Canis lupus familiaris: one gene and its partners. The protein of the gene in region 2 interacts with the protein of the main gene of each other region in a pairwise test. Links are inferred from orthologs where the notes say so. Each region holds a gene or a part of one and is shown on either strand. Other genes may lie near its edges. The genes, in order: MAPK1IP1L, EWSR1 and PLSCR1.

Region 1 (4,424 bases), on a different chromosome or scaffold from region 2:
TTGGACAACTCAAGGAACTGAGGACTTAGTAAAGTTTTTGAATATTCTTAAGCTTTTGAAAGACATAATTTTTATTTTTTTAAAAGATTTATTCATACATGAGAGACACAGAGAGAGGCAGACACAAGTAGAGGGAGAAGCAGGCTCCCCGCGGGGAGCCCGATGTGGGGACTTGATCCCAGGACTCTGAGATCACAACTGGAGCTGAAGGCAGATGCTCAACTGCTGAGCCACCCAGGCGTCCCAAAAGACATAATTTTTTAAAGTATCATTTTTTTTATACTTATGCCTGGAATATACACACCAGGCACTGTCTTGTTAGGCTTTGGGGAAATGAAGAGTACTACACAGAATAGACATTTAAGGAATTCACAATCTGGTGAACTACCCTTTATTTTTTTTTTTAAAGTTTATTTATTTATTTATTTATTTATTTATTTATTCATTCATTCATGACAGGGAGAGAGAGAGAGGCAGAGACACAGGCAGAGGGAGAAGCAGGCCCCAGGCAGGGAGCCCGATGCAGGACTCCATTCTGGGACTCCAGGATCACACCCTGAGCCAAAGGCAGGTGGTAAACCGCTGAGCCACCCAGGAACCCCCCTGAACTATCCTTTAAATAGTAACTACCTTACTTTGGGTAAGCCCAGGGCACCAAGTTGAGTACCTAAAGGGCACCTAAAGGAATCAAGGAAAGGAGAATAAGGGGAGGAACCCTGAGAAGAGGTTCCTTTGCAGTCTGGGAGAACAATGAAGAGCTGGCAGTAGGGGATGATGGGACAGGCCCCGGGAAAGAGCAGACCGTGCAAAAGCTAAAGCAGGCAAGAATACGCTATGGGAAATATAAGCAGTTCGAATTGGTTGGAATACAGAGAGGGGAGGGATAGAAGTTTTAGCAGAGAGCCTTTAAACTGAGGTTTGAATGTCTCAATCAGATTCAGCTCACCCCAGTGACTCAGTTTCTTCAACTATAAAAGGGCTAGTGATGCGAAAGACTAAATGGTATTCATAAATTAAGTGTCTATAATAACAGTGCTCTAAAAAATAGTGGATGGGCAACAGATATATATTCCCTTGTCTTTCTTCCTACATGGGCATGGCAGCAGAGATTAAAAGAATGACCCTGAAAGTTATGGCTGCGTAGATAAAACCCTAGCTCTTCACTGGCAGGTGATGGACAGGTTGAATTCTTCAAACTCCAGAGGTTTAAGTACACAGGAGTAGTATCCACCTTGCAGACCTGCCCCCAGACTGACAAAATAAATCTCCTGGTCTCTCTCTGGCACTCAAGGAAAACTCAACAAACGTTAACTTTTACAATCGCGGTCACAGGCCTGCAAACCTTTATCTGCAGTTCTCGATTTGGAAACTTCTGAAAAGAAAAGGAAAATTCCAGAATTTGGCATAAAACTTAGTTGGGTGGCAAAACGTGACCTGAGGATATTTACAGTTTCCATGAAGTCACGCCTATCCCTGCACCATTATTACCGTAGTCTCAGGGATGCTGCTGGGACCTTGTGAGGGTGACACCTCTGGCCTACGCATCTTACTCTTTCTAAAATCTAAAGACACAATTCGAAGATTGCTGAATTCCAAAACATACCGGCCCCGAGCCTTGCAGTTAAGGAATGGGTCTCTCTCTGTTCCTTCTGGAGAGAAGAAAAGAACATTCTCACACACACAACCCAACTCAAGTCGCTGAGACAAACTAGTTTTAAATAGGAGGTTCAGAGACGCCAGTACCAGAAAAATTCCTGTTGCTGCCCAGTGAATACAGCCGAACAAAGAACTTCTGAAAGCTCTCCGAAGGCTACCTTGGCCTGTAAAAGGAGGCTCCTTTACAGAACATGCCTTCACAACCATCAGGTGTGTAAGAGTGTGTATTTCTTCAGCAGTAATTTTTTTTTTTTTTTCCCGTCAGGGGAATACGGTCTGATGCCTCAACATTAGAAATTTTTAACCAGTAAAAGCACTGCTTTTGGTTTTCGAAGAGGAAACGGCTCAGCTATTTATAAGCTTCCATGCGTAACACAAGCCCCCAAATCCTAAGAAAGAGAGTGTCGCCGAACTCACGGCTTCTGTCATGTGTATTCGTCGAATAGGATCTGTGTAGCAACTCCTTCGGCAACTAACGACCGGAACGTTGTCACACGGCGGACAATCTGATTAAACAAGTGCCAGATTCCTCCAAGGCTGTTCAGGCCCCTCGCTCCCGTTTTATTAGAAATTAATGAATGGGGGAGGGGACCGAGGGGGCGCGAGCCGGGAAGCCTTCAGGGCCCAACGAACAAAGGGAGTCCGGGATCAACCGGAGCGAACCGGCCGCCGAGCGGGTCGCGCCGCCCGGAAAGGGGTGGGGGTGGGGAGGGTGGGGGAGGGGCCGGGCCCTCTCGCCGCCCCGCCCCCAAACCCGGCCTGACGTCAAGTGCGGAGAAACCCGTCCGGCGCGACGTCAGCCGCCTCCGACGCCTCCTCCCGGGGGGCGATCGGGGGGCACCTCGCAGCCTGAGGGAAGATGGCGGGGGCCGACGTTTAGTCCCGGCCCCTGAAGAGGCGACTCGAGGTTCCTCTGTTACCGCGCCCGTCTCCCGCTTGGGCGTGCTCCCCTGCCCCCCTCCACGATACCCACTAGCGCCGAGGCAGCCTCACCCGGCCAGATCCGAGCCCGCAGCAAAGTCTAGAAGCGGCGATGGGTCCGGGGGAATCGGGTGCTGAAGAACCGAACGCGGACTGACTGACGAGCGCGGCGGCGGCGGTGGCGGCGGCAGCAGCGGCGGCGGTGGCGGCGGAGGCGGAGGCGGCGGCGGCGGCAGCGGCAGCACTAACAGCGCGCGGCTCCTCCTGGCGCCGGAACAGGAAGCGCCGAGCGCGCCGCCCCCGCGCGCTCTCCCCCCTCCTCCCCGGGCCGGGTGCGGCCGCGGGCGCCCCCCGCAGGCTTCGCGCTGCACTGCGGCCTGCCCGGCGGGGCGGGGCGGGGCGGGGCGGGGCCGGGCGGCTGCTCCTCCCGCTCGCCCCGGGGCGGCTGTTTTCCTCCCGCGGGAGGGAGGACCGCTCCCCGGTTTTCCGGAATTCTGAGCCCTCGGAGGAAATGCCTGTAGCCAGTGACGTTCTGGGCACCTCGGCGGAAACTGCTAGCTTGTTTCCTGGACTGGTTTGAGGACTGCTTCTGGATTTCCTACGCTTAGAGATTTTTACAGCCGGGCTTGGATGCCGGCTGGCTGTGAATGCGGCCAACCAGTGAATCCCGGCCCTCGGGCCGAAATTGGGGAGCGCTACAGGAGCCATACGGGGAAGGGGGCCCCACATGTTCATCTTTGAAAGAACCTTTACCTACTTTGGGTCAGGTCTGTAGGATGATTGACACATTCCCCCGGCTGTCAAGGAATCTGCCGTAATTATATAGTGTGCAAAATGTATATACATACAGTATGTACATAGATTTTTATATGTAAAACTACACTAGAAATATGCGGTATCAGTACATTTTGCTTCTTTGGGTAACCCCTTAGTGGGTCACTGGGCAGGGGCATTTTATTAGAAACGTCTTAAAGGAAGACTTATTCCTGGGTATGCTCCACCAGAACCCACACTTCTCCTACTGGAAAAGAGGCAATAGAGAAACTGCAAATACCCAAGCCTGGGGAAGACCTATTTTTGGACAGGGAAAATGGTCTATGGAAAATGACATTAGTGTGAACAACTTACCCTGCCGTCAGGAGGCAGTGAATCTGTAATGCCTTATGGAGCTATAAGGAATCCTGAGTCAGCAGACGTCAGTAAAACTATATTTAAAATCTTGACCTGGGACGCCTGGGTGGCTCAGCAGTTGAGCGTCTGCCTTCGGCCTGAGCGGTGATCCTGGAATTCCGGGATCGAGTCCCCCATCGGGTTCCTGTATGGAGCCTGCTGCTTCTCCTTCTGCCTATATCTCTGCCTCTTTCTGTGTCTCTCATGAATAAAATCCTAAAAAATAAAATCTTGACCTTTTTTCATTAGGTTGTTGTTTTAATTCTGATTTTTTAAAAATTTATTCATGAGACACAGGCAGAGAAAAAGGCAGAGGGAGAAGCAGGCTCCCCGCTGAGCTGGGATTCCCAATGTAGAACTTGATCCCAGGACTCCAGACCCCAGGATGACGATGCTCAACCTGGGCAGATGCTCAACCACTGAGTTGCCGGTGCCCCTGATTTTATTTTTTAAGATTTTATTTGAAAGAGAGCGGCAGAGAAAGGGGATCATGACCTGAGCCCTTGGGCGGAAGCCCTAAGGATCATGCTTAACTGACTGAGCCACCCTCGGTCCCCTTCTGATTTTAAAATTAATTTTTTAAAAATATTTATTTATTTATTTATTTATTTATTTATTTATTTATTTATTTAATTTTTTTATGATAGTCACACAGAGAGAGAGAGAGAGGCAGAGAC
Region 2 (3,215 bases):
TTAGTACTTCTAATGGGTCTTTCTACACTCTAGAATTCAAGTTTCTCAAAGTTTACCAAAAAATATTCAGAGCAACACAGAAGCAGCTTAGGGAAGGTGTCTGGTAAATACCTCCACGGAGTGGCGGTGGCATCCCTCTGCCCTCACGGGGAGGCATACCACCCCGCATGCTGTTCATTGGAGGTTTCTTCCGAGCAAGAGAAACCTTAAGTTTGCTTCCTTGAAAATCTTTCCCTGAAACAAGAGAACAGAACACCATTACTCCCAACTTCCAACTCTTCCCTCCTTGAGGGATTAGGCAAGACTAGAGTACTCCTTGCTCACAAACTCCACTACAGTCAACCACCCCCAATGGTAGCATGTGCCCCAACCACAATCTTCTCTAAGACTGTCGCTGGCAAGGGCATTCTCATTAAAACTCCTTCAAAAGATACCTCCCAAACCCCCTGTACCCTAAGGCAGAAAATAAGCCAGGAGAATGCTGAGTGCACTGGCACCCTTGCCCCGAAAAAGGTGAGAAGTAGGGCAAGTATGTAAAGTGGCCAAGAGATGAGAGCCAGGAACTGTCCTTTGACATTTTCAAGTCAGTTTTGTCTGTGGTGGAATTCCAGAATTAATGCCAAGGCTAAATATGTATATATTTAAACTCATTTGAGTTTCATATTGTTTTTTTATGGAGTGATCTGTACTTTCTGATAACTTGCTTATTAGAGAGGCATTTACAACTTTAAGCAAGGTGGATTTGTAATAATGACTAAAAAAATGAGGGCTCTCCAAGTCCAGGGCCAGAAACTGGGCCCTCTTATGGCAGAAGGGAGCCATCCAATGCTCCTCCAATGCAGACAGTGGGTCTTCCTGCTTCTATGGCTCTCAAGTTCCTCCCTTCTGCAATGTGTTATAGTGACACAGAGGAAAAATACATCTGTCCCTTGTCCCTAAAACCATTTCAGAAAATGATATTCTAACAGAATTACATCCATTAGCAAGACCCTTCATGCGTCCCAGGGCAGGCTGAAGTGAAGGACACCAATGAGTACCCCTGTCAACTCTAGGGCTCTTACCATCAAACCACTCCACAGCAGCCTTGGCAGTTGGTGGGTCTTCATAGGATACTGTAGCATCACCTTTGGGCTTTCCTGTTTCCTTGTCCAAGTAGATATGGATCATGGGTTGTCCGGTTCTCTTGTTCATCTAGGCATAAAATAGCATAGTTAAACTGTGACCAGAAACACACTAACACTCAGAGAAGTCCCTTGAATTGTCAAAAGCTGTACTTTTTCAGACACACATTCGGTAGGATGTGTTTATCTCCAAGTAGTGAATTATGCATGATTTATTTCCTAAAGTGCCACAATAAATACATACTTAGGTCATTTTTTCTCTTAGGTGTAGGTGTCATGAAAACCACAATAGGCCTCAGGTTCCAAAGTGTGTAAGTGCTAACAGTATGCTTCCCATTCCTTCTCTAGCTGTCATCTCCTGGTGTCCTTGTATCTGACTCAACATTTTCTGTACCCACACTAAAGGGCACCCAGTGAAATAGCCACCTCTTACGAGGCAGTCAAGCTTTGATGCCATCACACAAACCATGTCTCACATAAAATAAAAATCACCCTTAAGTCAGTAAGTATAGTACATAGGGTTCTGAGTGTACTAGCAGCATTCTTTTTTTTTCCCCCAAAGATTTTATTTATTCATGAGAGACAGAGAGAGAAAGGCATACACACAGGCAGAGGGAGAAGCAGGCTCCATGCAGGGAGCCTGATGTGGGACTCGATCCCAGGTCTCCAGGATCACACCCCGAGCTGAAGGCGGTGCTAAACGCTGAGCTACCTGGGCTGCCCTGCTAACAGCATTCTTTTTTTTTTTTTAAGATTTTATTTTTATTTTTTTAAAAGATTTTATTTATTTATTCATGAGAGACACACACACACACACACAGAGAGAGAGGCGCAGAGACAAAGTCAGAGGGAGAAGCAGGTTCCATGCAAGGAGCCTGATGTGGAACTCGATCCTGGGTCTCCAGGATCACACCCCGGGCTGCAGGCGGTGCTAAACCGCTGTGCCACCAGGGCTGCCCTAAGATTTTATTTATTCATGAGAGACACAGAGAGAGGCAGAGACACAAGCAGGCTCCAGGCAGGGAGCCCGACGCGGAACTCAATCCTGGGTCTCCAGGATCATGCCCTGGGCAGAAGGCAGGTGCTCAACCGCTGAGCCACCCCAGGGATCCTTTCTAACAGCATTCTTAAAATCCAACACAGCTAATTTTTCCTCCAGAGCTAGAATGCACCATTAGCTTTTCAGCTGAACACCAGATACAACTGGCTTGATTTCAGGAGCCACACTATAATACAAGAATATGGCTTCATCTGTTTTCTGCATTAAAAGTACATTATGATCAAAGTTTAATTTATACATGTTGGTTATATAACACCTAGTGATACCTAAGAGTATTGATTTATATATATATATATATAAAAAGAAAAGAAAGCTAGTCAGGATGCCCGGGTGGCTCAGCAGTTGGGCGCCTGCCTTTGGCCCAGGGCGTGATCCTGAGTCTGGAGATCGAGTCCCATGGAGACCTAGGATCAAGTCCCACATCAGGCTCCCTGCATGGAGCCTGCTTCTCTCTCTCTCCCTGTGTCTCTGCTGTCTCTGTGTCTCTCATGAATAAAATCTTAAAAAAAGCTAGTATTTGTAAGACATACATACTAATGCTATGTTTTTATAAAGAACATACATGCTGAAAAATATGGCAAAATGGTGGTATGAATGATGGGGCTATTTTTAAAATCTCTATTTTACAAAACTGATAGTATAATTTTTAATTTTTATTATTATTATTTTAAAAAGATTTTATTTATTTATTCATGATTTGGGGGGGGGGCAGAGACACAGGCAGAGGGAGAAGCAGGCTCCACACAGGGAGCCCGATGTGGGACCCAATCCCGGGATCCTCACGCCCTGGGCCAAAGGCAGAGGCTAAACCGCTGAGCCACCCAGGGATCCCCCCCTGCCTTTTTATTTTATTTTATTTTATTTTATTTTTTTTTTAATTTTTATTTATTTATGATAGTCATACAGAGAGAGAGAGAGAGAGAGAGGCAGAGACACAGGCAGAGGGAGAAGCAGGCTCCATGCACCGGGAGCCCGATGTGGGATTCGATCCCGGGTCTCCAGGATCACGCCCTGGGCTAAAGGCAGGCGCTAAA
Region 3 (4,347 bases), on a different chromosome or scaffold from region 2:
TACTAAAAGAAAAAAAAAATCTAAGGAAGTCATATATATTGTACCACTGGAATCTTAATTACTTCAGGACAAATGTATAAATTCAAATTATAATCTGAATACTATACCCTTCTTTTTCTTAAAAAAAAGATTTTATTTATTTATTCATGAGAGAGAGAAAGAGAGAGAGAGAGAGAGGGAGGCAGAGACACAGGCAGAGGGAGACGCAGGCTCCATGCAAGGAGCCTGACATGGGACTCGATCCTGAGTCTCCAGGATCACGCCCTGGGCTGAAGGCACTAAACTGCTGAGCCACCCGGGCTGCCCTATACCCTTCTTCCTAATTCAGTTAAATGAGAGATTAGTGCATCATATACTATATTCATATAAGTATATTTCTGGTAAAATTATTCCATCAGATACCATAAGACCCATTGCTGCTCTGGGCTCTTTGAAAATTATAAACCTCTTCCATCAGGGAAGAGAAATAATGCAGGTGACATCAATCATGGTTCCAGAACTCATCTTACAGTGAAATCCTTGACCCATCTCTTGGGGGTCCTGAAATTTCTCTTATTGCTTTCAGAAAAATATTAATGTACAATCTGGAGCCCAAAGGAAGCATCCCTAGTTTTGATAGCTCCTAAGACTAGTATGCCTATAAACCAGGCATAACCTATATTTGAATCATCGATCCATGTTTACTTCTTAATTGTTTAACAACAAATCAGTTAACATTTTTCTGAGGCCCACGATGTGGATATATGTTCTGAATTATTTTAGCAAATAAAGACAATGACAGAACTCTTTGTCCCTGACCTACTTTGAATCTGAGAGCCAAAGGCTGTCTAAAATCAACTAGGCCATGGATGGGGGTTGGGGAAGTGAAGCATTGCAGAGGCAACTGGCACAAGTCCTGTGGCTAGAGGGAGATTGACTAATTCAAGGAAATGAAAGGTTTGTGGATTACAGGAAAAAGAAAAAGGGGGGGGGGGGAGAGATCAGACAAAAGAATAGAGAAGTGTAGGACAGTTTTAACGTAGTTTCTCTCTACCTGCGTTCTATGTTCTCAAAGGCCAGAGTATGGACTATCTTGTCCAGGACAAGGCACTTAACTGGTGCTTGCTGACTGAACAAGATGTGTAGGGTTTTATTTCCCTCCTTTCCCATAAAGAACAGCTCCCGTACAAATGTGAAGGCTGCTTCGTCTCAGATTCAGCCACTTATTTATTTTACATGCACCTTTTCTATCCAGCTGCAGAAATCCACTCATTTTCCCTTTTCCTTAATTTTCATTCCTTGCGTTTATTCAGTGTTCAAAGCCCTGCAGTTGTCCTGCTCGCGAGCATGGTATTAAGAGAAAGTTCTGCTATTAAGAAAGTTCAAGGATGATAAAGGGAATCATAAATCGTTTGACAATTTCCTCTACGGAAGTGACACTTGTACTAATCCTGTTTCTCAAATTGCTAAACCAGGAGAAACAATACCTGCCTGTTCCTGGAGCTGGGTAGTAGCTATTTTACCACTTCCAGGAATCTCTGTCTAAATAAAACCACCTGGGAGCCAGATAATAATCTCGGAGAAGCAGGGACTTTACTATTAAAAATACTAAAAGCGGGACACCTGAGTGGCTCAGGCGTGGAGCGTCTGCCTTCGGCTCAGGGCGTGACCCCGGGATCCGGGATCGAGACCCGCATGGGGCTCCTTTCGGGGCGCCTGCTTCTGTCTGTCTCTCTCTCATGAATAAATAAATAAAATCTTAAAAAAAAAATACCAAAAGCTAACCCTAATGAGAACTTTCTGCAGCGCGGGACACAGCTCCGACAACAGCTTTTACACTAGTTAAGTATCCTACTCTTAACTCTCGGAACTCATTTTTGACCTTGACGCAATTTCAGAGATGGAGCCAGCAAGGTCCAGAGATGAAGAAACGGGTCGGAGTCCGCAGGAATTAAGTAGCAGAGGCGGGGGGTGCACCCAGGCAGGTGGACGGACTCGGGAGCCTCGGGTCTAGGGTCCCCCTGTGGGCGGTAAAGCACCTGCCTCCCTCCTGCCCCCGCGCGCGGAGCTCCAGGTGGCTCGCACAGTTTGGGGGGGGGGGCAGCCTTCCCAGTAGTGAATACTCACTGTTAAATGACAGCTCCGAGGGGCCTGCGAATCGCCCTTCTAACCCCCCGCGCACCCCCCGCACCCCCCGCACGCTGCCGGCAGCCGCAGCTCAGACTCTCAGCGCCGCGGACAGGTGTTCACCCACGGGGCGCGGGCAAACCTGAGCCCTGGGGCGGGCCCGGCGGGGGGGGTGCCGCAGGCGGGTCGCTGCTCGGGGGTCGCTCCCCGGGCCGCCAGGACCCCGGCCCCCAGCCTGTGTCCGCGCGCCCCGCACAGGTACAGCCCCCCCCACCCCGCGCCTGGCTGGGAGCCCGCTGCCCGCCCACCTGTGGCCGCCGCGTGCGGATGCTCCAAGACCCCGGCCCCCAGCCTGTGCCCGCGCGCCCCGCACAGGTACCGCCCCCTGCCCCCGCCCCCTTCCCCCCCGCACACCTGGCGGGGAGCCCGCCGCCCGCCCACCTGTGGCCGCCGCCAGGACCCCGGCCCCCAGCCTGTGCCCGCGCGCCCCGCACAGGTACAGCCCTCCCGCCCCCCCCCCCCGCGCGCCTGGCCGGGAGCCCGCCGCCCGCCCACCTGTGGCCGCCGCGTGCGGATGCTGCCCGGATGCTGCCAAGGGCGAGGCCCCGGAACCTCGGAGCGACCTTGCGCCGCCGAGGTCTGACGGTTTCGTTTCCCGGTGGCGGCGTCCACGCCCCTGCAGGTGCCCCGAGCGCGCGCTCGCCGCTGGCCCCGCTGCGCCCCCTGCGCCCTGCGGGCCCTGACGTCTGTTCCGGGGCCCCGGGCAGCGAGGCGCCGGGAGGCGGGGGCAGCCGGGCCCCGGGAGTCACGGAGGGGGCGGGGCCGCCGGGGTGGGGTGGGGGCGCGGGCCTCCCGGGAGCTTCCGCCGCCCGGAGCCTGCAGCGCCGCTGCGGGTGCAAACGGCCCGGGGTCGAGCTCGCTTTTCTTCATGCGGCTTCTTCTCTTTAGCTCTCTCCGTCCTGGCTCGCTGTCCGTCTGGCTCTCTCAGTGTCTGTCTCTCCCTCTCTCCGCCCATCCCTCATTCTCCACCAAAGGCCGCTAGCTAGCTAGCTAGTTATTTATTATTTATTTATTTATTTATTTATTTATTATTTATTTATTTATTATGAACTACACATTGACTTTTTTTTAAAAAAGATTTTATTTATTCGAGAGAGAGAGAGAGAGAGAGAGGCAGAGACACAGGCAGAGGGGGAAGCAAGCTCCCTGCAGGGACCCCAACGTGGGACCCTATCCCGGGACCCCAGGATCAGGCCCTGGGCTGAAGGCACATGCTAAGCCGCTGAGCCCCCCAGGGGTCCCCAAGGCTGCTAACTTTTAAGAGTCAAACTGACTAGATGTGTTTAGAGTGTTTAATTTTTCTGCCATCTACCCCCACCCCCGCCACTGGCAAACAGGCTCAATAAACTCATATTGGAAAAAAACACACACACACACACACAAACGAACTCATATTGCTTAAACTGAAGGATTCATTGATTCTTTTTTTTCCTTAAAGTGTTTTATTTACAAAAGTAATACAGGATCTTCCAAACAATAAAGCTGAATATGGATAAATAAAGCGAAAGGCGTCTTGGGCAGCTCTCCTCTCCTTTTCTTCCCATGACCCTAGCAACAGATACTTGAAGAGTAAGGGAGGAAGTAGGCGGGAGGAAGGAAGAGGGGGTGGGAAGGGAGAGCAATAGAAAATGAAATTGAGAAAAGAAGTAAAAAGGAGGGGGGAAACCTGCCTCTTAGATCTGAATCCCTTCTCATTCTCCGTGACTTTGTGCAAATTACTATCTCTGTGCCTCTTTTTTAATCTGTAAAGTGAGGGTAGTAGTAGTATGCGTCTCATAATATTTTTATGAGGATTGAAGAAGTTAAAATATGCAAGAAGTTTAGAGTGATGCCTGCTAAGGAGTAAGCGCTGAATAAATATCATTATATATACACACATATATACACACATGTACGTAGTGTTTCTTTACATAAAGAAGATTGTTTCATGCAGACTGTTATCTGGGGCATGTTCTTTTCTCCTTTAGGATGCATCTTAGAAATCCCCTTGCCTCTGATACTGAATGGTCTCGATCTAATCATCTGGGTGCAGTTTATTTCCTGTTTTATAATTACAAATTATGCTACAGTCATCAACCTTGCACATATCCTTATGTGTATATACACTACAGAAAACCCGTCATTCTGTTCTTCTGTCAATAAAGTATGGAAATACTTGTTTTATCACATGTCTTCACTTCT

Evidence for each region.
Region 1: the proteins of EWSR1 (region 2) and MAPK1IP1L interact in binary tests that used the Homo sapiens proteins (3 or more experiments, as listed by UniProt). The link is inferred for Canis lupus familiaris from reciprocal best matches to the Homo sapiens genes EWSR1 and MAPK1IP1L.
Region 3: the proteins of EWSR1 (region 2) and PLSCR1 interact in binary tests that used the Homo sapiens proteins (3 or more experiments, as listed by UniProt). The two-hybrid records come from large-scale screens. The link is inferred for Canis lupus familiaris from reciprocal best matches to the Homo sapiens genes EWSR1 and PLSCR1.

The regions. Positions count from the first base shown.
Region 1 is NC_049229.1:31,204,838-31,209,261, reverse strand, and holds the start of MAPK1IP1L (MAPK-interacting and spindle-stabilizing protein-like), read right to left. Parts: upstream 2,801-4,424; 5' UTR 2,650-2,800; intron 2,296-2,649; exon of another isoform or gene 2,086-2,295; coding exon of another isoform or gene 2,074-2,085; intron 1,768-2,073; exon of another isoform or gene 1,744-1,767; intron 1,511-1,743; exon of another isoform or gene 1,489-1,510; intron 1,473-1,488; exon of another isoform or gene 1,449-1,472; intron 1-1,448.
Region 2 is NC_049247.1:23,014,064-23,017,278, reverse strand, and holds part of EWSR1 (RNA-binding protein EWS), read right to left. Parts: intron 1,192-3,215; coding exon 1,062-1,191; intron 235-1,061; coding exon 112-234; intron 1-111. UniProt on the Homo sapiens protein: Binds to ssRNA containing the consensus sequence 5'-AGGUAA-3'. Might normally function as a transcriptional repressor. EWS-fusion-proteins (EFPS) may play a role in the tumorigenic process.
Region 3 is NC_049244.1:42,190,655-42,195,001, forward strand, and holds the start of PLSCR1 (phospholipid scramblase 1), read right to left. Parts: upstream 2,841-4,347; 5' UTR 2,662-2,840; intron 2,620-2,661; exon of another isoform or gene 2,548-2,619; intron 1-2,547. UniProt on the Homo sapiens protein: Catalyzes calcium-induced ATP-independent rapid bidirectional and non-specific movement of phospholipids (lipid scrambling or lipid flip-flop) between the inner and outer leaflet of the plasma membrane resulting in collapse of the phospholipid asymmetry which leads to phosphatidylserine externalization on the cell surface.